3 linked regions of the Diceros bicornis minor genome follow. The protein of the gene in region 3 interacts with the protein of the main gene of each other region in a biochemical or structural test. Links are inferred from orthologs where the notes say so. Each region holds a gene or a part of one and is shown on either strand. Other genes may lie near its edges. The genes, in order: BICD1, OCRL and RAB6A.

Region 1 (9,921 bases), on a different chromosome or scaffold from region 3:
AGTTTCAAGTGTACCACATCCAAATTCCTTAGTTTAACTTGCAAGGCAGGCACAATCCTTGACTCTCTCTCCGGTGGTGCCTGTCTCTTTAGTGTCATCTCAGGCCATCTCCCCTTTGCTTTTTAATCCTCAGCCTCTGATTTTCATTCTCTGCACTCGCCACACTCTTTTCTGCCTTAGGCTTTTACACATGTTGTCCATCTTCCTGGAAAGCTCTTCCCCCACGTTTTGCATATCCAATTCCTTCTTATTTCTTAGATACTAAGAGTGATACATATCACTGCTTCAGAGAGCTCTCCACTGATAGCCCTGTTATTTCTTTTTTTCAACCTCAATCTTATCCTTGTTTTTCTTCAAAACTTGTAAAAACAAACACACATACTGCTTATTAGGTGTCAAATAATGTCCTATTCACAACAATCTCACTAGTAGATGATGTTATTATTCCCTCTTTAAGGATGAGGCAACTGAGGCACAGAGGGCCAGTAAGTGGCAAAGCTGGATTTGACCCAAGCAGACTAGCTTGTGTGCTTAATCACTATGCTGTATCCTGCCTGTCACTGCCACAATCTGGAATTATTATATTAATCTTTGTTGTTGTAGTTTGTTTTTTTGTCTGTCCCTCCCAGAACATAAGGGAGGAGATGTCCCTCCTTACGGTCAGGAACCCTTGACCACTCTCATCTTATTGGTCATTGATTTCACAATGCCCACTATTGTCCCTAGGGCATAATGGGTACTTACTAAACATCGGTTGAATGAATGAATGAATGAGTGAGAGCAAGAGAAAGCAACGTTCTTGCTGACAAAGTTGGTGAGAGGTTTGTTTGAGGTACTAGGTCACAAAATACAATTTTTCCTAAATATTTGTATGTAAGAAAGTTCCATAAGTGATTGGAGGCTGCTAGGATAAAGAAATATGAGGGGACCATGCTTCTAGGAATGGTTTAAGAAATTATTTTCTAGATACTTGTCATTGATACATATATATATATACACACACATATATCTACACACACAGACATATACGTATGTATATATGATATGTATGACATATATGAAGAGAGAGAGATAGGTGAGTATGCAGTGCAGCACTGGAAGAATACGGTGTACAAGGAGATAAGTTTACTTTCATCAAGTTAAATACTAACACAGAGAGGATCAAAGTTGTACTCAGCAAAATCTTAAAGTGTTAGAATAGTGAACACGTCTGAATGAAGTCAGACTGAATAAACTAACAAAAGTGTATAAATCAGAAAAATGGGGCAGAATAGAGCATAGGGAACGGGCGACAATGGACACAGAGAAAGGAAAGTCACAGAGGCAAACTCCATTCTTAGTTCTGTCCAAAGGAAAGGGAGACGCAGGCAATCTGCTCCAGGTGTTTGGATCCCTTGGGAAGGGCTGTGTTTACACTTTGTGGAGTGAGGACCAGGTGCATACCGGGAAGAAGGCAGTTTAGCTAACTGCAATTACAAGTTTCATCTCTTTTTCAGCAGTTCATGGTCATTCATCATTGTGCAGAGGATGGGCACTACAGGAGCACACAGAAGGGGCTTGTCAATTGCAGTGTGAGATCAAGGCAGCACAGGTGGACTGATGTGGTCATTATCATCCCCGCTTCTCTGCTAGGTTGGAATTCATGGTGGTCGCAAGTTTCAAGTGTGTTCTCCATTCATTCATTCATTTATTTATAGATCAGATAATCACAAGAGAATATTCTGTTGTCATTGTCAGCATCTGGAAGGAATCTTTTTTGTCTGTTTCCAGAGGCAGTGAAAATCACATCCAGAGAGCCTAATTAGTCAAGGCTTTGTAAGGTCATTGTCATTTGCTCTTCCTCCCACACCACCAGCAATTGTCTTTTTTCTTTACCACGTACAAAATGATGGGAGAAGTGAGTCCTGCTCTCTAACTCAGAAAGCTTGTCTGCGTGTGTGTGTGTCTGTGTGTATGTGTGTGTGTTGAACACCTCCTGGCCACTAAGAAACAGCTCTGTCATAAGTGCCACCCAGGAAAGAGGGGAGGAACTGGCCACACCCTTGGTCTGTTGCTCCCACAGCCTCCCAGTTACACAGATATTACTCTTTCTCCATTCCTATTGCTTCCTTTCCTCTTGGTTGTTCTCTAGTCTCATCTCGTCTCCATTCTTTGTTCTCCTTTCCTCTGACTTTGCCTTCACCTCCTTTTGTGATACTTCATCATCACTCTTTACATTGATTAAAGAGGTCATTTTACAAGCATATAATATTTAGTTGCTGGGTTTGTATTAGTAATGAATGAAGGTGAAGCCAACATAACTGATCCAGTTTAGGGCTCTGGAGCTAAGGTTACATTTTGCCTTCACCACTTAAGAGTTGCCTGACTTTGGGTAAATCACTCAACTTCCCTGTGCCTTTCTTTCACCACCTGTAAACTGGGGATAAGGGTTCCTACCTCAGAGTTATTGTTAGGATGGGAGAGAATGCGTGTACCATACTCAGAAGAATGCTTGGCACATGGTCTCAAGAACTATTAGCTCTTATTATTTTAAAAATGTTTATTGTAGGGTATTGTTGATACTGTATATAGGGAATTGCATGCAGTCTTCTTTTATTGAAGAATCCGTGGAGTAGAACTACTGGGGCAAGAAATAATGGTATCTAGAGGCTTACTGGGGGCATGCTTTAGAGAGATCTTTTTCTGAGTAGAGAGAGTGATCTTGTGATAAACTGGGCACAGAAAGCGTGGATGAGGGCAAGGGATCTTTAGCAAAGAGTGTCCTGAGGGGGTAATAAGGTTAACTGGTGAGAGTGTGAGGTGAACCAGGCCAAGCTAGGAAAGGGGGCGGGGGAGGGAGAGGGAAGACCTGACGGAAACCGGCGCCTTGGGGCGCGTCTGGATGGCTGTGGAAGCACAGCGTTTGGGTGCAGGAGGCCAGGGAAGGACGCTGCGAGCCCGGGGGGCGAGAAGAAGGATGCGCGGGTCCCGAGCGCGTTAGTTACTGTTTGCTTTTCTTTGAGGAAGGCGCCGATTCCAGACAGTTTCCTGAGCTTGGGCTCACGTCGGAACGAGAGAGCCGGGGCGCCCCCGCCACTCTCGAGGGCTTGGACGTCCATCAGGGCAAGCCCTGGGAGAAACTTCCACCCGGGGCGAGCGGGACAGGGCAGAGGCTTCCTCCTCGCGCGCGTCCCGCGCGCCCCCCGGTGCAGCCAGCGGCGGGGGCCCGCGCGCCGGGCGGGAGGCTCCTGGGGATGTTTCCGTCTGATCCTTGCCTCCTCCCCCGCGCTGACTCCATCCGCCTCCCCGCCCCCCGGCTCGGATCCCCGGCCAGGCGCGACGGGAGGGAGCGGGCCCGAGACTGCATCATTCCGCACTGGCTGCAGCACGGCCAGAGCGAGCAGGTGGAGCGAGCGCGCCAGACCCTGGGGAGACTGCAGTGACGCTGCCCGGGAGACATGGCGGCCGGGCGCCTCTGAATAAGCAGAATCCGGAGCCCCTCGCCGCCCCCGGCCGCCGCAGGCCAGGCCATGCCGAACGGCTGCTGACCGCACGCAGGGGCCGGCCCAGAGGACACATGCGGCAGCAGCTGCCGCCTCGCCCCTGATCCTCTCCCTGCGTTCTCCATGTTGCATTTCTCGTCAGTTTCTCTGGCACTGTAGCTGCTGCTGCCAGAGGAGCGTCAGGGCATTGCTCTGCTCATTCATCCAGCCACACTTTTCTTTTCCATTTTTACCCTTCCATCCCCATTTCCTTCTCCCTTCCCCTGCCTGCTTTGCATCCATCTCCCCCACCCCATCACCCCCTCCTGCCTCCATCCACCGGGGCTATGGCCGCAGAAGAGGTATTGCAGACTGTGGACCATTATAAGACTGAGATAGAGAGGCTGACCAAGGAGCTCACAGAGACGACCCACGAGAAGATCCAGGCTGCCGAGTACGGGCTGGTGGTGCTTGAAGAGAAGCTGACCCTCAAACAGCAGTATGACGAGCTGGAGGCTGAGTATGACAGCCTCAAACAGGAGCTGGAGCAGCTGAAAGAGGTGAGTTGCCTGTCACCTCTTTCCTCCTCGGCCCCCGTCCATTCCCCCCACCCCCAACGCCCACTCATCATTTATAAAGAAGTCGCAAGGATGCTGTTGAAAGGCCTGTTTCTTCATGTTAGAGCCCTTTGTTGATAACAGAAGATTGAAAGAGTCCATTGTTTTTCCCCCAAGAGAAAAATTGCCCAGGAAATGAATGTATAAGCTGGAATTTGGGAGGCAAGGGCTGTTAAGGCTGTGGGGGAGGGAGATTCATAAGTCTTCGAGACTCAACACTCTAAGGCGACATTCAATTGGGCTGGAATGTATAATTCAAACTTCTCAAAACTGCTGTTATTTCAAACCCAGGTTTCAGTGACAATCCCGTAATCCACAAAGGTGATGGGTAGGTTGGTGCCGAGGACCCGCAGTTTCAGGATGTATAATCTGTGGTGCCTCAGCCTTCTGCTGAAGGTAACTATTCCTTGATGAGAGAGAGAACTGTGATTAGAACTCCTGGCCAGTCCCAATTGACAAAGGCTGGGCAGGCTTCCTTCTCCCTGGCTTGAGTTATTCTTGTCATCAGGCTGCAGGAGAAAAACAACTCTGCTGAGTGATTTCACCTCTGCCTTGATTTCACCTTTGAGTGAGGCTGGGCCTTGCTCAAGACTTATAAGGTCACCCTGATCAGGGAAAATTGAACTCCCCTACAAATGGTCTGAAAAATGGTGTATATCAAATTTGTGGGTAGCTGTGCATTTCAAATGAGGCTCTTCTGTTTGAAATGACTATGTTTATAAAACCAGAGCACCACACATGGGCCATGTATAACATTTGTCCTCTTTAGTCTTTTGGTATCTGGCTTCTTTTAAAGACTGGCTAGTGTACTGGAAGAAAATAATAAATATGCTTTGATTTCCTATTAAGCACTCATATAAGAGTATACATATTGTTGAAGGAACTCAGTCTGTTTTGCTTGATTCCTGAGGCACTATGGGTAACATGTAACCAGTTATAAATTTAAATGTACACACTGCTTTTCTATGTGGCAAGTCTTTATTTTTAGGTGCATATTGGCATTTTAAATATTAATTCTAATTTGGTATATAATAATATCAGAAATGTTTTTCTTATAACGTACTCAAACTGTTTTTTTGGGGGGTGTCTCGTGTTGTTACAGTTAAAAAGCATGATTTATGACATATCTAATCAATTTGCCTTCTAGTTTAGTACATAAATGGTAAGCATTTATAATTTCAGGTTCATTTTGTTTTTATTCTGATGCCTAAGTGCCAAAAAATAAATATATGGTAAAAACTCCAACTAGAAATCTGATTTTTGTGTATCAAGCTGTAAATTTCTAGCTCATGTTTTTCTTACCATGCACATGTCTGTTCTTAACAACAGCTAGACTTATTGGTATTTTCCAATTTTGATTAGGTCTTAGGCTGATATGTTTAAATTCAATGATGCTAAACCTTGTGGAGTTAGGAAACAGGATGGTGATTGCAAATCTCAGAGATATTTTGATGTTGTCTGCACCTGTCAGCACTGCTTTACCAAGACGAGGAAGTGTAAACCAGGCAGTGTTAAGCCATCACCTCCTTGATAAAGGAGGTAGACTTAGTTTAATGAACTGGAGTATAATTGTTAACTGACCTTCCTGCTTGATTTAAACAACTCTTCTAGGTATATTTCTGTGTCATTGGCACTTGCCCTAAATAGTAAACCTTAATGCAATTTCTTTTGCCTTTACTAGACCATGAGCTCTTGAGGCAAGGAATCTGTCTTAATTTACTTTGCATCCAAAGTCTTTAATACAAAGCCTAGCACATAGTGAGCCAGCAGTAAATATTTAATGAAATAATAAATTTATACTGGAAGAAGACACGCCTTTATCAAGCTTTCACTAGTCAATATGGGTTAGTGTCAGAGAAAGACTAAGAAAATTAGGAAGTATGGGAAGTGACTAGTATTTAAAAACTACTTGTATTACTTTCATCAGCAATAATGGGAAAAAAGAGAAAAAATGTTTTGTAGGAATAGTATAACATTGGTTTCTTATTACGGAATAATGCAAATACCAATTATAAATTTTTTCTATAAAAATTTGAAGCATATTTTGTTTTATATAACAGGAGGTTAATAAAAATTTAGCAGGATTATTTTTACCAAATGGTGCTTGTTTACATGTGTGTTTTGAGTTGCATTTAGCCTAAATATAATTCAATTTTGGGTCCCTAATTGGCTTATACAATTATATAAAAATATATTTTAGGGTAATAAAATAATCATTATACCTGATGATTTGATAGTGAGACCTGTTATTTTGATCCTTTAAACATGATATATACTTTAGTTGGGAGTATTATTTCAATGAGCTAAATCAGTCTCAGTAATACTTCCTGTTTGAAAAGTAAATCCAAAATAATTATGCACACTAAGATATTCCAATGATGATATCGTGTAGAAGCCATTTTTGAAAAACACGTTTTGTGAGTGCTCTGATTTTTCAAAAGGAAGTTTTGTTCATTTTCAGGTATATATAGTAAACAGTGTTGTTGCATTATATCTATTAAGCCATGTATAAAAGAAATCTTTGGCTTTTTCATAGGCTCTTTCAACAAATAGGATCCATTTAAAAATAATTGGATCACTTATGGAAATGTCAACAGAGAAACACTGTATTAAGTCCAAGTTGGACATTAGTAATTTGCAGAGTAGCAGCACAGCTTAGTCTTTACAGGTCATTTCATTTTCGAGAGTCAGCACCCAACCATGTGGCTGCCCTCCTTCCCAGACTATGTACCACTATGACAATAATACAAATGAGCAGGGTTGCCTGAAGATGTGCAAAATCAGGATGATGAAGTCATTAATTTTTTTCTAGTTATGTCTTCCCTCAGTCTGGATGCTTTTTGGCCTGGCCTGCTGTCACTCAGGGCTCTGCCCTGTGCCTACACGACTGCTGTAATTCTGCTCCCTAAAGAACACACTCGAAAGAAAAGTACTTAGGATCTGACAAAAGGATGACTTCTGACATCATCATAATGTTCTCCTTTATGTTATATTTAGGCAGCTGGACAAAGCAACATATCCACTAGAATACTTGACCACGGTTTTATGGGCTCACAAATAATGCTTGCTTTTCGGTGACTGGGGCACCCCTGCCCAGTTATGTTCCTGGCCTGGCTGATTGTAAGTTTGGGATATGTGTAAATCAGCACGTGTCTGTCACCCAGGCCATGATAGTGTCTGAAGAAGAGTCATGGTTCTAAAATAATTTGAAAACTAAAAATATACATACGTTAAAAAAATACTCCGAATTTAAATTTTTTTTACTTAAAAAATGTTTGAAATTTAAAATGTAGTAAAGTTTAAAAGGATCTCCTTAGAAACGAATGATTCAGCATTCCTGGTAGCATTTTAGAAAACATATCTGTGTGACAACTTTAGAAAGTTTTGCAGCTAGGTTACAGTAAACTATGTACTAAGAATCTTCAATTCATTTTCTCATCCCTGACGCCAAGGATAGACATCAGCTGCGGAAGAGGCACTTTCTGGGCGTAGAGCAGCTTCTCCTCCTGAAGACAAATTTTTGCTTTTTCAGGGCTGTAGTTGCATCATTCAAGAAATAAACATTGAACTTATACACTTTTAGAGATGGTCACATTAGGGACCTGATGAAAGCCATTTACTTGTCTGGATTCATCTTTAAACAGAACTAATTTTCTTTCCTTATATGCTTGGGAAGATTATTAGCTTCTTTATCTCTGTAAATTCTAAATCATGAAATCATATGGGGAAAAAGAACTCCGGATTTCTTTTCCAATCTATGAATAAACATAGAGAAAGTTAGTACTTAATTTATTTACCTAAGCTAGTATTTTTTTCTCTCTTATTGTTTTTAAAGAAGAAATGATTATATTTATTATCACATTTATTAGCAAGTTAATTAAAAAACTAAAATATACCAACAAATGCTTTTGGAAACTTGACAAACAACCTCAGCAAACAAACATAATGACTTTCAATCACATTTCTTTTTTTTGACCCAATTGCTCTAACTTGCATCATCACTTCTTTTTATTTCAACTCAAGATTTCATCTCTGACAGAGCTATTTCTCAGATATCATTTAGCAAGATTTTAGAGTCTTTCATGACATTCACCATGTTTGCGTGAATGATTGCAGCCAGGGTTTGAAGATTTTTTCAGAATTTTGTGCTTACAAATATTCTACACTATCATTTTCTTAAATACGCTTGTACTTTATGGATATTGCATTCCACATTTGAACATATGATAATTACTTGCATGTTGAAATATATGGTAAAGAACTTTCTCACACATAAGGTTGTACGTGTAAAAATGGCTTTGCAGGAGGGCATGAACAGGTGCATAGTCTTACTATTAAATAATTCATTACACTAAGGGAGAAGGGATGTAAAGTCAAGTGGCAAGAGATGAAATTGAGAAAGTGGCAGTGGCCACATTTTTTTCTTGGGGATGGGGAACCATTAAAAGGAAATGAAAGGAGACACTTAGTAACTGTGTTTGGCGCCTTACATCTTATCTCATTTAACCTTCAAAGTAACTTAGAGGCTTATTGCCCATTTTTACAGATAAGAAAATAATAAGAATAATAAAACATTGAACTATGTACGAAGCTCCGTTTAGGACAAGGCGCTTTGCATGCCTTATCTCTAATTCTTATAACAATCCTTTACAAGGTAGATATTACTCGAATTATACAGAAAAGTAAAGTAGGTCTTAGAGAGCTTAAGGATTCTTCTGAAGGCTGCAAAGCTAGATGGTGAAACCTGGTTTAGGAAGAAGCCCATTCTTCATTGCACCATACTACCTCAGAGGGTGAATCATCTCAGCCAGAGCCACAAGTGCAATTTAGAAGGTCACGGTGTTGGTCACAGAGGGTGAATTGAAAGCAGTGCAGGAGCAGTGGGGCTAGTGAGGAGGCGACAAACCTAAGAGCTATTTAGGAGGTGTACAGTGGAACATGGTGTTGGATGTGACTGGATGTGGAAAGTGAGAAAAAGAGTAGAGTCGAGAATCTTCTCAGGATGGATAGAAGTGGTTCCATTCACAAAGGAAGGTACTATGGGGTAAGGGCAGTTTTAGAGGGGAAGGTTGATGGCCAAGTTATAGGAGTCCTTGTAATTCATGTTTTCTGTGAGGGGAGGTGTAAATTGTGTGATAAATTCAAATACCTCTCAGTTTAACAAAACAAATGAATAGTTTGTGCAATTGGTTGTCATTTTATTCAAATATAATTTCCGGAATATGGAAGATATGAACAATTGAACAATGTTTTCACCAATGTCAGTTTAATTACGTGCTGAATTAGATGTGCAAAGGAACAAACAAGGGGCTGGGCTGGCACAGTGAGGACCCCGAGGGCAGCCTAAGTGGAAAACTAGCCCTTGCTGACCTCCTAGGTTAAGAGGGCTGGGAGCAACAGCACTCACTCCTGGCTGACTGATACTTGAAATTCCATTAGCGCTTTAAAATTTTTTTTCCTTTTTTTTTGTCATGAGAGATTGGTTGCTCTTTAAAAATTACCATTGTGTAATTAGGACAGTTTATGGCAACAATCCAAGTTACGTAATAGCATGTACAGATTAATAATTTCCCCTTCCTCTCCCACCAATTCTTTGTTGCTAACACTCTGGTGAGTATTCTCTTATATTTGCTTTAAATATCTTTAAACATATGAATTCATACACAGGGTTTTTTGTTGTTCTTTTGTTTTTATAAAAATGGGATCATGCCATACATAGTACTCTGCAACCTGGCGATTTTCATTAATAGTATGTCCTTTAAAATGGAGATGTTTCTGGGGCCGGCCCCGTGGTGTAGTGGTTAAGTTTGGTGCGCTCCGCTTCTGTGGCCCGTGTTTGTGGG
Region 2 (9,921 bases), on a different chromosome or scaffold from region 3:
TTGCTCTAAAACCCTTTATTAACTTTTCTGGATTCACTGTCAGTCTCCAACAGTGCCTGTTCTCTCCTTCTCTGCCTTATTCAAGTTCCCAAACCCTCTACTGTTAACTTCAATTTCATCAGATTAAATGTGATAATTCAGGTAGAGCAGTTACCATAGTGCCTGGCACATAGAAGGTTCTAAATAAACACTTACTCTTACTACTGTTAATATTGAATGAACAGCGTAATGTGTTAGTTAAAATCCTCGGGCTTTGGAGTCAGACAAACATAAGTTTGAATCCTGATTCTGCCATTTACTAGCTAATGGGCAAAAGTTGCTAAACCTCTCTGAGTCTCAGTTTTCTCATCTTTAAAGTGTAAACAATAATATTACTACTTTACAGGGATTTCGTCAGGATTAAATGAAAGTATGTATGTAAAGCCATGAGGAGAGTGTCACATGAATATTCAGTTAGCCACCAGGATTATTATTATTGTTATTACATACACTTATTAATTTTTTTTGAGAAAATCATCAACTACCCTGTGAGAGTTTCTCCACAGTTTTTAGTGTCCTCACCTCAATACATTTCCATGTCTTCACAACCTCTTATGCTTTACAACAAATATTTGAGTACCCCACTATATGCCAGGCACTGTTTCAGGTGCTGGGGATACTGTAGACTTGGACGAAGAACTACCTCTCCTCTTCTCTAAGGTTGATTCCTCCATCTGCACCTTGGATCCTTGTCCTTCCCAATTACTGAGGGATTTTTCTTGCAACCTTTCTGCTTCCCTCTTCTAGTACCTTAAATGTCCCCCTCTTTGCTAGCTCCTTCCCGTTGCTTTAGAGTAACTTCAAGTTTTGTCAAGAATTTCTCTTTAACCCTTCTAACTAATTTAGTTAAAATTGTATTTCACTCCTTTTTGCTTCCAAACTTCTTCAATACGTGGTCTCTTGTCTCCATTTCCTCAGGATACAGTCCCTTCTCAATTCCCTGTCATCTTGTTTCTACCCTCACCAGTTATTGAAACCACTTATTTAGCAGTCTCCAGTGAACTCCTTGACACATCCAAAGAAAGTCTCTCAATCCTCATTTTCCTTGTCCTGTTTTCAGCATTTGACACAGCTAACCCTCCTCTACGTATTATTTCTTTGTTTTTCACTTTCATTGATTACAAACAATTTAAAATGCAGGAAAGTACATGGAATAACATAACCCATATATGTACCTACCACCCAGTTCTATCAAATCTTGCAACATCAATTTTCAGATTGTTTTTAAAGAAATAAATATTACAGATACAGTTGATATTCCCTGTATTCCTCTCTCCAGTCTCAATCCTCTCCTTGAATTTGGTGATGATCATGCCCTTTCATGATTTATATACTATTACTGTTATGTATATCTATGTAGCCATAAGCAACAGATAATATTTTCAGACTTTATATAAACGGCATACCGTACATGTTTTGCAATTTTCTCTTTATGCTTAACATTATATTTTTGAGATTTAACTCTGTTAATACATATAGCTTGTGTTATTCATTTTAATTTTAAAATAGTATTCAACTTCATGAATACCATGATTTATTCAACCATTCACCTGCTGATGGACATTTAATTTGCTTCCATTTTTTTGAGATTACAAATAATGCTGCAATGAACATTCTTTTACATGACTCCTTGTGCACAACAGTTAGAATTTTGCCCAGTCTGTAGTTAGAAATGGAATTTCTGAAGGGTATTACCTATAGAACTTTATTATACAATGTCAAATTGCTCTTCATAGTAGTTCTACCAACTTACACTCCTTCTAGCGGTGATCAGAGGTCTATCTGTTCTACATCCTCAACAACACCTGGTGTTGTCTGAATTTTCAAATTTTTAACCAAACCGATGGTTGCAAAATGGTATCTCATGGTTTTAATTTTCAATTTCCCTGAATAGTAATGAAGTGAAGCATCCTTTCATGTCTTTACTGGCCATTTAGGTTTCCTTGACTATGAATTACTTACTCATATATTTTGTCAATTTTTCTACTAGGTTTCTTTCTCATTGATTTATAGGGGTTTTTGCACGTTCTGGATACTAATTCATTCATTTAATCAATATTTTTATAGCATCTACTTTGTTTCAGGAACAGTTCTAGGCACTGGGAATGCAGCAATGAACAAAACAGACAAAAATCCCTGCCCTCATGGAACTTACATTCTAGTGGGGAAAAGTAAACAATAAACAAAATTGATAAATAAAATAGAACAATGATAGAGATATATCCTCTGGAGAAAAATAAACAGGGAAGAGGGATAGGGAGCATGTGTGCATGGGAGTGGGAAAGGAGATTGTCAAACTTCAATTTTAAATAAATTTGTCTAGGAAGGCCTGACTGAGAAAGTGACATTTGAGCGAAGATCTGAAGGAGGTGAGAGTGCAGACAGAATGAACAGCATGTTCAAAGTCCCTGAGGCAAGAATGTGTTCGGCAAGTCCTAGGAATAGCAAAGAGCAGTGTGACTACGCAGCATGAGTTGGAGAGAGTGGTGGGAGAGGATGTCAGAAAAGTGATGATGGCAAGAAGTGTAGAACCTCAGGCTATGTTTGTCAGTTATATGCATTGAGAATATCTTCTACTAGTCTATGGTTTGTATTTTAACTTGTTTATGTTGTCTTGAATTTTAATATAGTTAAATGTATCAATCGATTCCTTTATTTTTGTGCTGTCTATTCATTTTCATTCCCTATTCCAAGTTCATAAAGATATTCTATTTACTTCTAAATGTTGTCAAGTTTTGCTTGTTACATTTGGATCTTGAATCCACCTGGAATTGAATTTTTCCTCTATGGTGTGAGGTAGGGATCTAATTTTATAATTTTCCATATGGATTATCAAGAGTCCCAGCACCATTTAGTGGATAATCCACTCTTTCCCCACTGATCTGAAATGTTGCATATGCTGCATATCAACTTTCCATATATGTGTGGGTCTGTTTTGCGGCTCTGTATTCTATTCCATTGGTCTGCCTAGCTCCATACCACACTGTCTTAATTACTATAGGTTTAAAATCAGTCTTGATAGCTAATCCATTGTAGATTCTTGAGCAAATGAAAAACACAATTGAAATGTTACTCTGGGAAGACTATTCTTATGACTTATGTCATAAATCATGTGCTTAAGTTCCACTGCCAAACTTATGTACATATTCTTATGTAAAATGGTCAAAGGGGATATCACAAAGGCTAACAAAATGATGGCGGTGTCAATGGAGAGAAAACAAGGAACCAAAAATTAATTCCAAAGAAAATATTAACAAGGTTTTTTGACTGATTGGATACAGAGAAATTAGGAGAGAGGAAGAAAGGTGACCTAGAGGGGGCGCAAAAGAAGGGTAAAGGTCTGAGATTTGAGGACTTTTCTGATTTAGCGGGTGAAAGGAAGAGGAAGGGGAGAACATCTGAGAGGTAGGATAACCAGCACGGTGCATTATAACCATAATAAGGATTTTTTGAATGGATGATGTGGGTCTTATTGGCCCAACACCTTTGAGTTCCCTCATAGGTATGACTGTGTTTTGTTTCTGTGGCAATCTTCAAAGTCCCCAGAAGAATTTTGGTGTCACAGGCAGCATTTGAAACATATTCCTTGCTGGACATGGTTGAGACGCCCCCGTTCCGTCGGGTCTCTCGCTGCAGTTCCGCAAGTTGGCCGCAGGGGGCGGAATCCGCGGCGGCCTGGAAAACTGGCGGGGGCGCGAGGCGCCGCTCTCTCTCGGGTCAGGCTCTCGGCTCCCGGCTCCCGGCTCCCGGCGCGGAGCCGTTCCTCACACGACGCGCAGCCGAGGCGGGTGGCTGTGAGGACGGGGGACGCAGAGTCGTCGGATCCGGCCGCAGTCCGCAGTCCGGCTGAGCCCGGAGGCCGCCCGGATGGAGCCGCCGCTCCCGGTCGGAGCCCAGCCCCTTGCCGTATCCGCCCGAGAGAAGGGGGAGGGGAGGCCGCGCAGGGTGGGGGGTGGGGGTCGGAGAGATTGCGGAACGCGGCGCAGGGATCGGGGGCGGTCAGGCCCAGAGGCCGAGCCGAGCGGGGGAGGGAGGCGGGCGTGGGAGGCAGTGCCTCGGGACCGGGACCGGGGCGGGCAGCGGGGCGAAAGCCTCCCTGCACACCACACCGCGCCACCCCTCCCTGGCTGAGCTTCTAGAAGAGACCCTTGACTAGCGTCCGCATACTGTCGAGGGTATGGAGATGAAGGGTCCTCTCCGGGAGCCCTGCGCTCTCACCCTAGCCCAGAGGAACGGGCAATATGAGTAAGTAACCACCTGATTCCCACAGAGGAGGGGAGCCTGCCATTACCTCGCAACCGCAAACCGCGACAAGCCACCCACCCTCCTCCCACTGAGGCCGCGCGGGCAACAGGTTCAGGCCAAGGTGTGAAGTGCAAGTGGTTTAACCACGGGTCTTTGTCCCCAACTTCCACGCTGCTAGATTTCTCCTGGCAGTGTTGCTCAGTGGAAAGACTCAATGGACGGGGAAGCAGGAAGCCTGGGTTCTTTGTTCCTGCCCCTGCAACTGACACATGTTGTGTAACCTTGGGCAAGTCAATAAAGCTTTCTGGGCCTTAGTGTCCTCATCAGTTAAATGAAAACATTAACTAACTGCCTTACCTTATAGCCTTTGGAGTTTTAACTGGGAGAATAATAAATGTGAAAGTGGTTTACAAAAAGTAAAAGTGCTATGGAAACGCTTCATTAACCTTATGTTAGTGCCTTTTCTTAACCCCATTCAACTGGTTCCTCCACTCTCCCAACCCCTTTATTCCACTTGCTTGAAGGCATATTCATTAATTCAGTAATGGTTTAGTGTAGGCTAGTAACTGCTCACTTATTGACTTGACTGTTAGAAAAAGTAATGAAATATGTAGAAATATAAACGACATTTGCCATTTTATCAGTGTGTGTTAACTTCCACTCTGCCTTGCATGCACATAGGAGCTCAGTAAATACTGTTGGCTGATGGATCAAAAGATTATTTTGATAAGCTATCACTATAGTTACTGATCTCACTCCCTTGCAACTAATGCCTCATCTTAAAAGTATCCATGGTGACCACTATATATCATAGGCCCCTATCCTTGTGTGCCCAAGCCACCTCCTTTGGTTGTTCACTGGTTTCTTGACATCAGAGTTTAAAAATTGTTGATCACTTAAATCCTGTCATCTTCCAACATTGGATTCTGCCTAAAAACAATTTTTCTCGGTTCCCGCTTTTAGTTTGTCCAGACTGAGTCTGTGTCTATGCTGTCTAATTTACACAGAAGAAATTCCCACTGGCCTATCCTGCCCTTTTCTAAGACTCTTGGTGCCTCTAACTGGATGTCAACTGATTCTGTGAAGTCGCTCTTCCCTAGGTCCTGCTTGGTCAGTTCTGTTGATGTGGGAAACTCATATTATGTTTCCCAGATTTCATCAAACCTTGAAAGACCCATTTAATATAAGTGAATTTAACAGAAAAGTGAATTGAAAAGCGGAACACCGCTGCGGCTTCCAAAGGCTAGAATGGGATAGAGAGATGGGACCCTTGGGCAAATCAGTAAACTTTTGTGCCTCAGTTTCCTCTTCTGTTAAAATCAAAATTATGAGGATTAAATAAAATAGCTACATTGTTGATATGACCATAGCTTGGGATCTGGTCCCTTGGCTCAGTATATTTGGAACTCTGTTTAGCTAATAAGGGAGTGAGCAATTGGCCTTGAGATAAATACCTCATTCTATCTGGACTCTTGTACTAGAACTTTTAAAGGGTGGTAGCTCTCCTGACTATTTGTGTCCTCCTCACAGAGAAATCAAATTCTTTTGTTCCAACTCTTTGTAAGTTATGGGAGTACAGCAACATCTAACACTTAATGGCTTGATGTGTGCCAGGTATTCTTCTCACCACTTTTCATGAGTTAGTTCATTTAACCCTCATGTGAGGGTTATTGTGAAATAGTAATATCATCGTCAACTTCCTTTTCTAGATATAGACATTGAGGCACAGAGAGGTTGTCACTTGTTCACAGTTAGGAAGTAGCGTAGCTGAGATTTGAACCCATGTAACGTATCTCAGGATTACATTGTCTGAGAAGTTTCTTTTGAAATCATCGGAGTCACCTAATACTGTCGTACCATCTATAATCCTGAAATTCTTGTCTCTTGGGTGCCTTCTCTGACTTGAGTGTCCAGAACATTTTTACTTTGGGCCTTTTTTTTTTTGTGAGGAAGATCAGCCCTGAGCTAACATCCGTCCCAATCCTCCACTGTATATGGGACGCCACCACAGCATGGCCTGACAAGTGGTGCATAGGTGTGCTCCTGGGATCCGAACCCGGGCTGCCAGCAGTGGAATGCGTGCACTTAACTGCTAAGCCACGGGTCGGGCCCTACTTTTGGCTTTTTTATCCTAGAACTTGAAGCCTATTTTAATCTTTACTTCTGTGGTTCCTGCTATCAACCATAGGAGAAATTTACTTGAGAGACCACCGTTACATTTAAAAATTGGTTTTTTGGAAACAGGGAATCAAACACTAACATTCATTTTTTTCAAGGAAAATGGATTATGATGCAACCTATTGTTTCATCTTTAACCTTCCTTGAACAAATCAAAGTATTTCCTAAGGATAATGCTGAGTCTGCATTCACAATTTGTCACTCGTTTCTGTTTGACAGCTACCAAATTCTGATTTCCATTGTTTTGCCATATACCTATTATTTTTCATCTTTCTGTTCTGAAAGGGATGATTACATTTAGGTAGAATTTGCATACTTAGTCTTAGCCCTACTCTCTTGCTACAGTTTATTTAGTGACTAAGACATAGTAGATATTCAATAAATACTTGTAGAATTGACTTAAATTCACATTTTATCTTTGTTTTGTGATGGTTTTTTTGGGGGGAAGGGTGCATTTCTTTTTTTTACTGAGATATAATTGACATATAATATTAGTTTAAGATGTACAGCATAATGATTCAATATTTGCATAGATTGCAAAATGATCACCACAGTAAGTCTGTTTAATATCTATCACCACATGTAGTTGCATTTTTTTTTCTCATGATGAGAACTTTTAAGATTTACTCGCTTAGCAACTTTCAAGTATACAATACAGTATTATTAACTATAGTCATGTTGTACGTTACATCCGCATGACTTATTTATCTTATAACTGGAAGTTTGTACCTTGTGACCTCCTTCACCCATTTTGCCCACCCCCATCCCCCACCTCTGACAACCACCAATCTGTATCTGTAAGTTTGGTTGTTTGTTTTTATATTCCACATATAAGTGAGATCATACAATATTTGTTTTTCTCTGTCTGACTTACCCCACTTAGCATAATGCCCTCAAGGTCCATCCATGTTGTCTGTTTTGTAATGGTTTTTAACAATACAATCCATTTGAAGCTTTACTACTAATGGTTAGCACCATTGTTAGTCTACATTACTTTGAGATTATACTGGTTTTGTGTTCACTTTCTTCAAAGTAAATTCTTCCTCCTTGACCCTTGCTTTATCAGCCTTTTATCTAGTTTCTGGTCTCCATCTGAGTTTATAAGACTGCTCGATTAAGGAACTTTGCAGGATGGAGGGGTCTGCCCCATATTCCTCTAGTCACCTTAAAATATAAACCCAGCAGATTAGGCAAGCTGGATCAGAGCAGAAAGACAGCATTAATACTCTTATTTCACTTAGTTCTGTCTAAGCAATTCCTTTCCCCAGGTTATCTCCTTCAAAGTTAACACATTTGAAAAAAAATTCAAAAAGCTAAAACAATAAACCACCCAAAAGACAACAAAATAGAAATCAAATGATTCAAAACAATGACATTTTTAATGTCAGAAGTTGAACTGTTGTATTTAGAAATTCGTCTCTGTTTATAGCTTGATTAACCTAGTTTGTTTATTCAACCTGTATTTTGAGCAGCTGTTAGGCAGGAGACAAAACTGAATATTATAGGGTCCTTGATTTCAAGGAGCTCAAATCTGTGAGGGAAATAAATATAACTATAATGGAGTGTGTAAGTACTCTATTAGAGGGGCAAGCAAAGAGGATGAGGCCCACTGGTTCTGCTTGGGGTGTTGGGGGAAGCTTCACAGAGGAGGTGATATTTGAGTTGGGTCTCAGGAAGTAAAAAAGAGTGTTCCTGGCAAAAAGAACCACCTGAAGAGTGCTTGATTTGGGGGAAGCTAGGAGATGTTCAGAAAGGCTATTTACCCGTAGGTTATATCTTGATTCCTGGCCACTAAGGATAAGAAGTAAATGAAAATTAATATTTCAGGAGTACATAGGAATTTAGAAGCCTCACATTTCGTACTGAGGGGCCAAGTTCTTCAGTCATGTTTACCTAATAATACCAGCATGAAGTTGGAAACCAGAGTAAAAGCACAAGGGCTATAAAGGCAATCTGGTGATATCTGCTACTTTGTTGGTCACTGGGGTTGTTTTGACCAATGCAGCTGGCTGGGAACCTCCCCTTACTCCTCCATGACTTGTATACTTGTTTGAAGAGATAGGACCATTCTTTGTTAAAAGCCAGGGAAATATAATGGGAAAGCTAATTTATGAAATTTCTAATTCGTTTATTCAACAAACTTGAGGGACTGCTATGTGCCAGGCACTGTGCTAGGTGCTAAAAATCCTGTGGTGAAAAGACAGCCATAGTCCCTGCCCTCGTGGACTTCACAACTAGCTATTAGTTCTTCGCTCTGGTATGCATGCTCTGAAGGTGTATGCACTGTTAATTCATGCTCTTAAGATTGTAAGCTGTTTTTATGTCATAGACTATTATATGTTCTTTATGCTATAGAACAGTGTGGGTATTCAGATACTGATCACTACTAATATCCTTTTTTTTTTTTTTTGTGAGGAAGATCAGCCCTGAGCTAACATCCATGCTAATCCTCCTCTTTTTGCTGAGGAAGACCCGCTCTGAGCTAACATCTATTGCCAATCCTCCTTTTTTTTTTTTCCCCAAAGCCCCAGTAGATAGTTGTATGTTGTAGTTGCACATCCTTCTAGTTGCTGTATGTGGGACACGGCCTCAGCATGGCCAGAGAAGCGGTGCGTCAGTGCATGCCCGGGATCCGAACCCGGGCCGCCAGTAGCGGAGCACGTGCACTTAACCGCCAAGCTGTGGGCCCGGCCCCTAATATCCTTTTAGACCTAGAGCAATGTCTACCTCTCATGAGGCTCAGACCCAGGGATCGAGATACAACAAGTCTAATAAATACAGACTAGATTTGTGTAAAACAATATAGCAATGTATTTTGTTAAATGTTTGGGTTTTTCAGTAGCTATTCGTTGATGCATTCTTCTGTTTCCTAGGTTAATAATCCAGTTGCACGAGAAGGAACAGCATGTTCAAGATATCATTCCTATAAATAGCCACTTTAGATGTGTTCAAGGTACTAGCTTTAATTGCTTAGCTAGTTTTATAATGTTTTTCCGTGGTCATTATTGCGTTGTGTAATACCATACATATTTTAAATTTGTCACTGCACGTAAAATGAAATGTAGTACTCTTTGCATAAAAAGATAACATTACTAACCTACCATTGAGAAGGTGATAAATGCTTTGTCTAAGAGTGCTGAAACATTATATTGAAATATATTTATATTTTTTCACAGACTTATATGTGGATTTAAATGACATTCTTGTATTTAACTGACACACTGCTCATTGTAGAGTATCAAGGTCGCTTGGATTCACACACATTCAGCACTTTCTCCCCACAGTATTTGAAATTAAAACGTTTGGCAACATGCCTTGCCAAATTATAATACCTTATATTCCATTGTGCTGATTCTCAAACGTTGACATTGGTGAATCATAAGAAAATCAACTCCGGGGAGGAAATATTTGGCTTCCTGCCCTCAAATTTGGAGACTGAGAACAGAATATCTGTTGTTT
Region 3 (9,921 bases):
AATTCTATATGATAGGTCCTATTATCTTTATTTTATAGATAAGGAAGTTGGCATAACGTGGTCAAATAATTTGCTCCAGGTCAGTGGCCAGTGCTACCATATGAAACTCAGACTCTGCTCTTAATCACTAGCTCTACTGTTTAGTTTTAAGGCTTCAAAACTAGATATGGAAAACATTCCCCTTGATTGTCCTAACTTGCAATATGAAACTGCAAGTACAAATGGCTTTATATCACCTAACCCAGCAGTTCTCAAAGGGTGGTCCACCCACCCCCAGGTTCTTTAACACCTGTCAGGTGGGGGTCATCGACTACCCTCCTGGAGGTCAAAACTATTTTCATAATATTAAGATGTTGTTTTGTTTTTTTTCACTCTCCTTCTCTCATGAGTGTACATCACTCTCCTTCTCTCATGAGTGTACAGTGGAGTTTCCCAGAGCCTACATGATGTGTGCTATTAGAACAGACTGATTGCAGAAGCAGCTATAAGAATCCAGATGTCTTCTAGTAAGTCAGACATTAAAGAGATTTGCAAATATGTAAAACAATGCCACTCTCTCACTAAATTTTTGTTTGGAAAACAGATATTTTTCATTAAAAATGATTATGTTAACATGTAACAGGTTTAATACTATTGTTTTAAATGAATTACATATTTTAAAATTTTCTCAGTTAACTTTCAATTACAGTAAATATTGACATAAACCACATAAACAGAGCTCTTTAGGAACCTCAACAATTTGTAAAAGCATAACAGGATCTCGAGAAGAAAAAGTTTAAGATCATGGAGCTAGCCAATCTAAACTATTCAGTACTCCTAGTCTCTGACACTAAGACATTTTTTCCCTACCTAGCATGCTATAATTCAAAAGAACTGATGTAAAAAAGGTAATATAAAGTGAAAAAATAAGCCATAATAGGCCAAAATGTACTTCCCCCTGAGATTACATTTCCTAATTTGTAACCTGTAACATTTGTTTGTAGTAATATCTTCTACTGTAAACCATGAATAACATTCCTAAAAGTGCCTCTGCATTTCAAGACAATAGCCAGAGGTAGTTACAAAAGAGATTCCTCAAAGAAACATCAGATTCAAATTGTGTATTTCAACACTCCTTTGTTAAACCACGAATACTACTGAAATATAAAGAAAGCATAAATTTATAGGAAGATTACCAAGACTGATGTCATTAACTCAATCTCAAGTTTCCTGTACTGAAACAACCCATCTTCGTTATTGAATACAGAATCTTAAGTTTTTGATATGCTACATAAAGCAGTCTACCCAACTTCAAATCACTTCCAGGAACATGTCTTTAGTATCATTTGACAGACTTTTAGGTGCTATACCAATAACAAATAATTTAACGATAGCTTTAACAAGACAAGACTAATTTTGCTCAACTCAAAAAAAAAAAAAAAAGTGCAAAATCCTGGTCAGTCTTATTTTTTTTTAGTGAAATGGGTGAGGGCTATAAATTATTGGGTTCCCTGCCCCTACTCTCAGTATCTAGAGTATCCCTGCATACAATGTAAGTAGAGAATGTTGTTGTTAAACTACTAATTGCATAAGGAAAAAATACAGACTTCACCATAGCAAAAATTAATATAGGTTACTAGCTCTGGTTACTAGTAGATTCAACCATCATTCACTCACCAAATATCTGAGTACATACAACAAGCCTGACACTATGCTAGGCACTAGGGATACAATGAACAAAAAAATAATAGTTTTTAATCTTCATGGGACTTGCATTCTGCTGTGGGAAATAGACAAAACACACAAAAAATAAGAATAATAAACGTGGTAAATGCCATTAAGCAGACGACCATGGCTTTGCCACAGATTAGTCTTTGAAAGCTGAACTGTGGAATTCTAAAACCAAAAAATAAATAATTCATGAAGAGTTACATCAAGATGACATGGATTCTACAGACCTTTCCTAATGCATAAGAAAACTACAGACACTGCCCACGAAAAAAGAGATCAATCTTTCACTGTCAAAGCTATTGGACGGCATTACTTAGCAATATAGCAATCTCAAAAGATAATTAACCTTACAGTTCCACAGAGTTAAAAAGCATGTAAATACAATCCTAAAAAAACATTTAAGAGGAGCCTATGAAGACATGACAACTAAATGTAATGTGGTATCCTGAACTGAATGCTGAAACAGAAAAAGATAGAAACTAAGGAAATTTGAATAAATTATAGACTTTTTTTAATATTGGTTCATTAATTGTAACAAATGTAAGATATTAACAATAGGGGAAATCGGGTGGGGCTATATGGGAACCCCCTACATGATCTTCTCAATTATTCTCTAAATCTAAAACTGCTCTAAAGAACAGTCTATTCAAAAAAAAAAATCTAAGATGGTTTCAGGAATTACGCGGGGGGAGTGCGAGTTAGTTAAGACAAAGTAAGAAATGAGAAGCCAAAAAACTCTGCAATGTGAATTAGAATATAAATGCTCAAGAAATTCAAAGGAAACCTACAGATACTTATGATCTCTATTCACACTAAAATTTTCCTAAGACAGAGATTAATGCATTTTTTCATGAAAACTAAATAGCTCTGCATCACAACATAAGGCAGGCAATAACATTCCCAGAGTGCACAATAAGCATTTTAGATCCTATTTATCAATAATGACCAATAGGCTATATTTTATGTATGGCATTGTCCTGAAATTGCCATAAAATATCTGGACCAGGATCAACTTCATAGGTCTTACTAAGTTACTTAAAGAAACAAGTTTATACTTCCTTCAGGAAAATTCATAAGCAAAGAGACTATATTTTTCCTTGGTAAGGGGGGTGGCAGGAAAGATTATGTATGAAAGGAGAAAAATAATTTCTCAGTCCAACTGGAAGCAATTTTGCAACTAGTATTAACCCACTTTAATGCCATAGAAATTAGTATAAATAGTTCAAGACACTAATAAAAGCTCTTAATTTATATCAATCATCTTCTTTCCAACCAAAACAAATAACGAATGCTTTCTATAACCTAACCTAAGACACCTAGTAGGTAACTCAATGTTGGATGATTTGGGAGGAACTCATCATCTCTCAATGTCTGAATTTTAAAGATGGTCATGAAAAGTGTGAGAAAAACAAAGGAGGATGATAATCTCTAAATTGTCGAGTGTCAAGTTTGCATAATACTGCAGAAAATTGGAATTACCACAAGAAGTAATTTTAGAGACAGCCATTACAAAATTAGGATCTTGTATCTAATACAAAGTACAGCGACAGTAGAAGCCTGACCAGATAAATGAAATAACAATTTCACTCATTAGATACTACGGAATATTAAGCATAAAAGAATCATTTACTCAAAATGATATTACATATTTAAATCTAATTTAGATAACTGGATGACAAATCTATTCCTACTCTACTCCATTACTCCCTAACCCCAAAGGAAATCCTACAAAACAAAGATGTTCGTTATTCTCAAGCCTTCTCTCACAGGAATTCTAAATATATAATTGGAAAATACTCAAGAAGAAATGGAATAATTAACATTTCCCCAGTAATTCCTGTTTGCACCACCATGAGGAGAATCAGACACTGATTCATGTTGAAACGAGAAAAAGAGAGGTGAGATGTGAAAAATTCTAAGTAAAATGATCATGACATAGCATCTGGCAGAGATCGGAAAAGCATCAACACTGCCAAAAGAATTGTCAGAGATGAAAGTCAAGAGAAGAAAACGAGGTTTTACAACAAGCACAGCCTAACCCAAGAGGCAAAAATCGCCACCGCCGCCGCCCCCAGCCCCCCAACTACTCCATCCTCCAAATCAGATATATCTCCTCTACAACTCAGACTAATTCCCCACCCAGGTGAAAATCATCCCAGAATTTTCTAGGACCCCCCACTTTCCCCCTTCCATAAGATCCGCACTTCTCAGGGCCGAGCCTCTGGGGAAAACAACGCCCAGATCCCACCCTCCTTGCCCAAGGTTGAAGAGGGCCCGTTCTCCGAACTGGGGCTTCCCGGGGTGGGCTCATAAAGCTGATGAACTGGGATAAGAGCAAGGAAGAAGGGTGGGGATCAAGGAAGGGGGCTGGGGGTGGTGAGACGACGGAGACGCGAGGAAGAAAGGGATGGACAGGAGGCTGAGGCTGGGCGGGGTGAGGCCAGGGGAGGGCAGAACCACGGGAGAGGGCCGGGCTGCGGGGAAAGGAGACGGCGAAGTCGGGGACGGAAGGGTCAAAATCCGACCGGCGGATCAAGGCGAAGAGGAGCCGGCGACCACGGGGCAGGGCTGGGGGTGGAACGCCGCGTGAACGCGAGGCCGGCGGGGAGCCTCCGCGAACGGCAGGGCCGCACTGGGGGCGGTGCGGGGAAGCCGGCCAGCTGCCAGAGTGGGGGAGCCGCGCACTCACCGCTCTGCTCCCCCAGGAACACCAGCTTGAATTTCCTCAGCGGATTCCCGAAGTCTCCGCCCGCGGACATGATGGAGCCGGAGGAGCTGCCGCCGCCTCAGCCCAGAGACCTCCCGGACCGACGCTGCTCCGACCGGTTGATGAAAAAGGCGAGAGGAAGGGCGGGCGCCGAGCTCTCTCGGTCCCTGCAGGGCCCGGCGGCGGAGCAAGGCTGGAGGGCAGGACTCCTCTCCACAGATCAGCAGCCGTCGCCGCCGCCTCACCGCGGAGTCGCCTAGCACCGAGCGAGGCCCGCGGACGTGAAGGGAAGGAGGGCGGTGTCGGAAGCAGCCAGGGGTGTGCTCGGGATTCCCAAGGCTAGCGCCGTTCCCGTCTCAGCGCCCGCCACGGAGCCTGGGCTGCAGGGAAGAAGGGTGGCGGAGCCGACCCGCAGACGCGTCTGGGACCTCTCACACGCAGCGCCTCAGCTCCCACAGCCGCCGCCGCCGCAGCCCAACCTGCTGAGTGCGCGAGCCTCTGGTGCGGCGCGGAGCGAGCCCGGGCGCGAGCCTGCCGCCCAGCCGGCCGCCGGCGTGCAAGCGTGCGTGCGTGCGCGTGCGCGTGCGCGCCACAGCCTGCGCCTTCCTGGTTTAGCCTGCTCTCCCGCAGACGAGGGCAGGTTACGTTTCGACTCGCGTAGGGAGAAGCGAGGAGGAGGTGGGGCGGGGCCCGCGGGAAGTGAGGGGTGGAACAAGGAGCATTAACGTCACTTACCTGATGAGCCAATCGGAAGAGGCCAAGGGTGGGCAGCGATGGGAGTGAGGTGGCAGCGCGAGAGCGCGCGCGGCACCAGCGCGGAGGACAGAGTTACACGGCGGCTGCCATGGGAAGTGTGGCGCGTCGCAGTCTGAAGGGAGAGGCAGGAAGGTCGGGCGGAGGCGGGGCCAAAATGGAGATGGTATTGACCGCAGCAAGGTGTGGTGTGGACGGAGGGCTATAAGGTGTGTTACTAGGTTACTCTTTCCTGAGCCCTCAACCTAGCCTCACATTGCTTAGATCCGCCCTTCACTGGTTCATGCACCCACCTTCTCCATCTTCTTTTGTGTGTGTGTGGAAGATCAGCCCTGAGCTAACATCCATGCCGATCCTCCTCTTTTTTTGCTGAGGAAGACTGGCTCTGAGCTAACATCTATTGCCAGTCCTCCTCCTTTTTTTCCCCAAAGCCCCTGAGTAGATAGTTGTCCGTCATAGTTGCACATCCTTCTAGTTGCTGTATGTGGGACGCGGCCTTAGCATGGCTGGAGAAGCGGTGAGGTGGTGGGCGCCCGGGACCTGAACCCCAGGCCGCCAGTAGCGCAGCATGTGCACTTAACCGCTAAGCCATGGGGCTGGCCCATCCATCTTTCTTATGGTAATTCCTCACACGATGTCATAGTAGATATATTCTCTGCTCCTGCTCCCAGGAGTTTCATAACTACCAGAAGCAGGGCCTCTATGTTTTTGCAGATGAGGAAACTGAAGCTCAGAGGAAGGAAATGACTTACCAAATCCATTACAAAATCCAAAGAAGCCATGAAGCGGAACCCAGGTTTTAGTCTTTTTCCTCCATCGAACCTCTGCAACCTCCTATTGATAAGCCTATCCACTTCCCTGGCCTGACTGCTTCTCTTCTGTTACCAGCCTTTGTTCCTCAGATATTGACAACTCTAGGTGACGCCCACCTTCCACTGTGCTAGAAAAGGGTTTAGACATCATGTAAACCAAAACCCTAATTTCACAGATGGTGAAACTGAGGCCCACGTAGGAAAACAGCTTTGCGAAAAGGTGACACAACAAATTAGAGGTAGAGCCTGAACTTGAGCCCAAGTGTGGGGAAGGGGATATTTTAAAGATCACTCTGCCTCCTAAAGCAGGGTTTCTGAATCTGCTATGGGTGGACCTCCCTTAAATTAGACGTCTGAAACATGTGGATTTTTCTGTAGAGAGGATCGGTAGCTTTCATCAGATTTTCAACCCAGTTCATGACCCAAAAAGTGAAGGTTAATGTCACAGCCAAGAGGAGCTGAAGGAGACGTGACAACTAAGTGTAATGTGGATGTAACTAACATGACATGTTAACTAACATGACAACTGAACATAAGTTTTAAACTAAATGGGATCCTGGAACAGAAAAAGGACATTAGGCAAAAACTAAGGAAATCCGAATAAATATGGGCTTTAGTTCATTACAATATATCAATATTGGCCCATTAATTATAACAAATGTATCATACTAATGTAAGATATTAATAATAGAGGAAACTTGAGGGGGTATATGGGGTCTTTCTGTGCTGTCTGCTCAATTTTTCTGTAAATCTAAAACTTTTAAAAAAAGTCTTAATAAAATAGAAATAAATAAAAGGTTAAGAATCTCTGAATTAGAGAATTTGGCATCCACACCTCGCCATACTTCAGCCACACCTCACCATACAATGGGACAGCATCCAAAAAAGTAATCCCTGCCTTTGAAGAAGACACTTTTAAACACTGGTATCAAAAATACTTCCCAAGATAATAAAAAATAAGTCCTTATGTTTATATATAGTGCCTTACCATTCACAAAACACATTTATATACATTTTCTCATTATTTGGGGGTTATTATTTACTTAGCTGTAAAAACGGCGGGATCAAACAAGTGCCTTCTCAAAACTGGGAATGAATTGCTGAATTAGAATAAATTAAGGGGAGAAATAGAGGTTCTCAAAATATCATCTATTCTGGCCTATCAAGACAACTGCTATATCCCCAAACCTCCTCCTTTATCAAAATTTACTCACTTCTGGTTCCTCTCAGCCAAATGGCAAAAGGATTTTGGAACATGTATCTAAAATGAAATGGTAAAAAACTGAGTTCTTACATGGACATTAGATTTTTTTTTAAATATTTGATTTTAAAAGTAGCTTGTCAGGTCTGGTAAGGCCCTCCCTACCAGTAACCCAGAACCCTGGCACACACGAAGAGCAACCAATACCAAGAGACCATTTAAAAAGAAAAGCTCTTGCAAACAAAAGTGAGTGGCTATTTTTTCTTTCTGATGGGTACCAGGTTTTCATTATGCTTCCTGAAATAACCTTTAAAGTAACATCTGAGGATTGGAACTATAATTACCTTGTACTTCCTGCAGAACTTTATGAATCAATTCCTCCCTGCTGCTTTGGTCTCTGTAGTTACCTAGACAAGTGATGCTATTCCTGTCATTTTGAAGAGAGATGTGATATAATCCACCTCTTACCTCAGATGTTTTAGTGTTTTAAGCTGGCATTTTGCATTGACACATATACAGCCTCATTCTCCTCTGAAGCTGCATTTATATCTATTGAGTACTCTGTGTAAATCATATGTCTTGCCATCAGAAATCTTGTGGTCTAAAAGTTGCATATTAGTGCTGTCTGGTTCATCAAATGGAGAAATTACTTGGGATAAGGAGAAATTAAAGAGGCTTTTTTCAAGGGTGCTTTCACCAACATCTTCACCTCTGTGATTTACACACACTTTTCTCTTTGCCTTGAATACTTTCCCCTCTCCCCCTCCCCAATTCCTACTCATCCTTTAGGTATCATCTTTAAAAAGTCTTCAAGAAGATTTCTCTGCTCCCATCCCCACCAACAATGTAATGCCTGTCCTCTCATTGTACTCTATTCTTCCCCATCACTTAATTATTATTAATTATCAGTCTTCTCTGCCTGACTGTAAGCTCCATGAGGTCAGAGCTCATGTCTTGTATCCCCAGCACTTGCAGAGTGCTTGCTATATAGTAAGCATGGAACAGATATTTGCTGAATAAATGAAATAAGTGAGAGGGATCATTTTTAGCTTTCTTCAAAAGATGAATGAGATTTGGGCATGTGGAGATGGAAAGGCAAGAGCATTTGGGAGAAAGAGAACATCACTTAAAATCACGTTATGTAAGTTGATACTACATTCCTTAACATCACTTATGAAAAAGATGCCCAGAACAGATCTCATCACTAAAAATTGGCAACAATGGAAGAAGACAGCTTTGGCAGCTGCAAATCAAAATTACCTAGACCAGTTTTCTTTGACCAATTTAAAAGGGATGTTAATTTGAAGCCTTTGAGTGTGTCTGGGAATCTACCACACAGAAATTATAATTACAGCCTTTCTTTCAGCCCTGAGAGACACAAAGCTTCTTGAGGGAAGACTGAGATTTCATCTTATTCCTTGTAGAAGACATTATCGGTTGCTTATCCAACAATATACACACAAAACACACACACACTTCCACGATGTATATTGGAAATGACAGATACTTTTCCAACTTCCCTTCAGCCAAGCTATAAGCACGTAACTTGATCTGAGCCGGTGGGAGGTGAAGGAAACGTGCCAGAGACTTCTGAGATTTTCTTCCCTGATGAAAAGAGATAGATGAGGGAAAACTGCCTTTGTCTGCCATTGGTTGTGGTTATATAAAGACACAGGATGTAGAGGTAAGACATCTTGTGAATATTAATATATATTCCTGAATAAAAAAGCCAACCCATTGATGATGGCTCAGCAGAAAGCTAAAAGGCATCATTGAGCCATTGTACCAACCTTGGAACTGGCCTTCCTCTGGATTTCTTTTTAGCAAAATAATAAATATCTTTATATTTAATAATGTCTTCATAATATGTCTTTGTCATTGTTACTTGCAGCTGAAAGCATCTGACATTCTCGTTTTTAGATCTCTTAAAACACCTCACACAGTTCTTTGAACATTAGGCACTCAATACTCTGTGTGTGTGTGTGTGTGTGTGTGTGTGTGTATAAAATACAGTAGTAGTTATGAAACTGGAAGTTCCTTTTTTCTGTTTACTACTCCCTAAAAAGGATTTATTACTCTTGGAGAGGCAGGAAATCAATAGAAGGAGAAAAACTGCCCAGGTAAAAGGACTGAAATCGTAGTGCTCAAATTTGAAACAAATAATAGGTCTGGCAGGAACTCAAATTCTATCAAATGTGAAGCCCTTCTAAGCCACTCTGCAGGTTATTATAATAATTGCTTCTAAAAATAATAGTGGGTCAATATACAAAGCATAAAAATGACAAATGCTCAATAATTCAAGGTGACCAATTAAATGAGCACAATTAACACAAGATATGTTTAAGCAAGTCTCATTTTAAAAAGACTACAAGAAAAAAAAAGGAGAAGACCTCATGTCAAAACCTGTTTTCCAAATACCTTGACCTACAATGATGTGCCAATGGAGAAGTATAAAGGTTATTTAGTCAAGGTGGAGGAGAAGGCAGTAGGATTTCAATGGAATGGTCCTTCCTGTGATTATAGCCAATTCATAAGCTAAGTCAGAAGATATTTTTGCTATAAATTGATCTACAGAATCTATTTTTAATAATTCCATTTTGTTCTGTTCATATGAATCACGGTCCTTGTTATGAATAATGTGATTTCTCAGAGCATTAAATGTGGAGTGTTACTTCCAGGCTTTGAAATTGCAGTGGGGCAAGAGGTTGTTTCATTTTATGCTAGTCCAGAACGTGTAA

Evidence for each region.
Region 1: the proteins of RAB6A (region 3) and BICD1 form a complex in vitro, tested with the Homo sapiens proteins (3 studies listed by BioGRID). The link is inferred for Diceros bicornis minor from reciprocal best matches to the Homo sapiens genes RAB6A and BICD1.
Region 2: the proteins of RAB6A (region 3) and OCRL form a complex in vitro, tested with the Homo sapiens proteins (2 studies listed by BioGRID and IntAct, with this or other methods). The link is inferred for Diceros bicornis minor from reciprocal best matches to the Homo sapiens genes RAB6A and OCRL.

What each region holds. Positions count from the first base shown.
Region 1 is NC_080756.1:31,698,756-31,708,676, reverse strand, and holds the start of BICD1 (protein bicaudal D homolog 1), read left to right. Parts: upstream 1-3,280; 5' UTR 3,281-3,808; coding exon 3,809-4,021; intron 4,022-9,921. UniProt on the Homo sapiens protein: Regulates coat complex coatomer protein I (COPI)-independent Golgi-endoplasmic reticulum transport by recruiting the dynein-dynactin motor complex.
Region 2 is NC_080781.1:118,337,928-118,347,848, forward strand, and holds the start of OCRL (inositol polyphosphate 5-phosphatase OCRL), read left to right. Parts: upstream 1-3,768; 5' UTR 3,769-3,906; coding exon 3,907-3,945; intron 3,946-4,204; coding exon 4,205-4,284; intron 4,285-9,335; coding exon 9,336-9,415; intron 9,416-9,921. UniProt on the Homo sapiens protein: Catalyzes the hydrolysis of the 5-position phosphate of phosphatidylinositol 4,5-bisphosphate (PtdIns(4,5)P2) and phosphatidylinositol-3,4,5-bisphosphate (PtdIns(3,4,5)P3), with the greatest catalytic activity towards PtdIns(4,5)P2.
Region 3 is NC_080746.1:57,117,545-57,127,465, reverse strand, and holds the start of RAB6A (ras-related protein Rab-6A), read right to left. Parts: upstream 4,914-9,921; 5' UTR 4,470-4,913; coding exon 4,400-4,469; intron 1-4,399. UniProt on the Homo sapiens protein: The small GTPases Rab are key regulators of intracellular membrane trafficking, from the formation of transport vesicles to their fusion with membranes.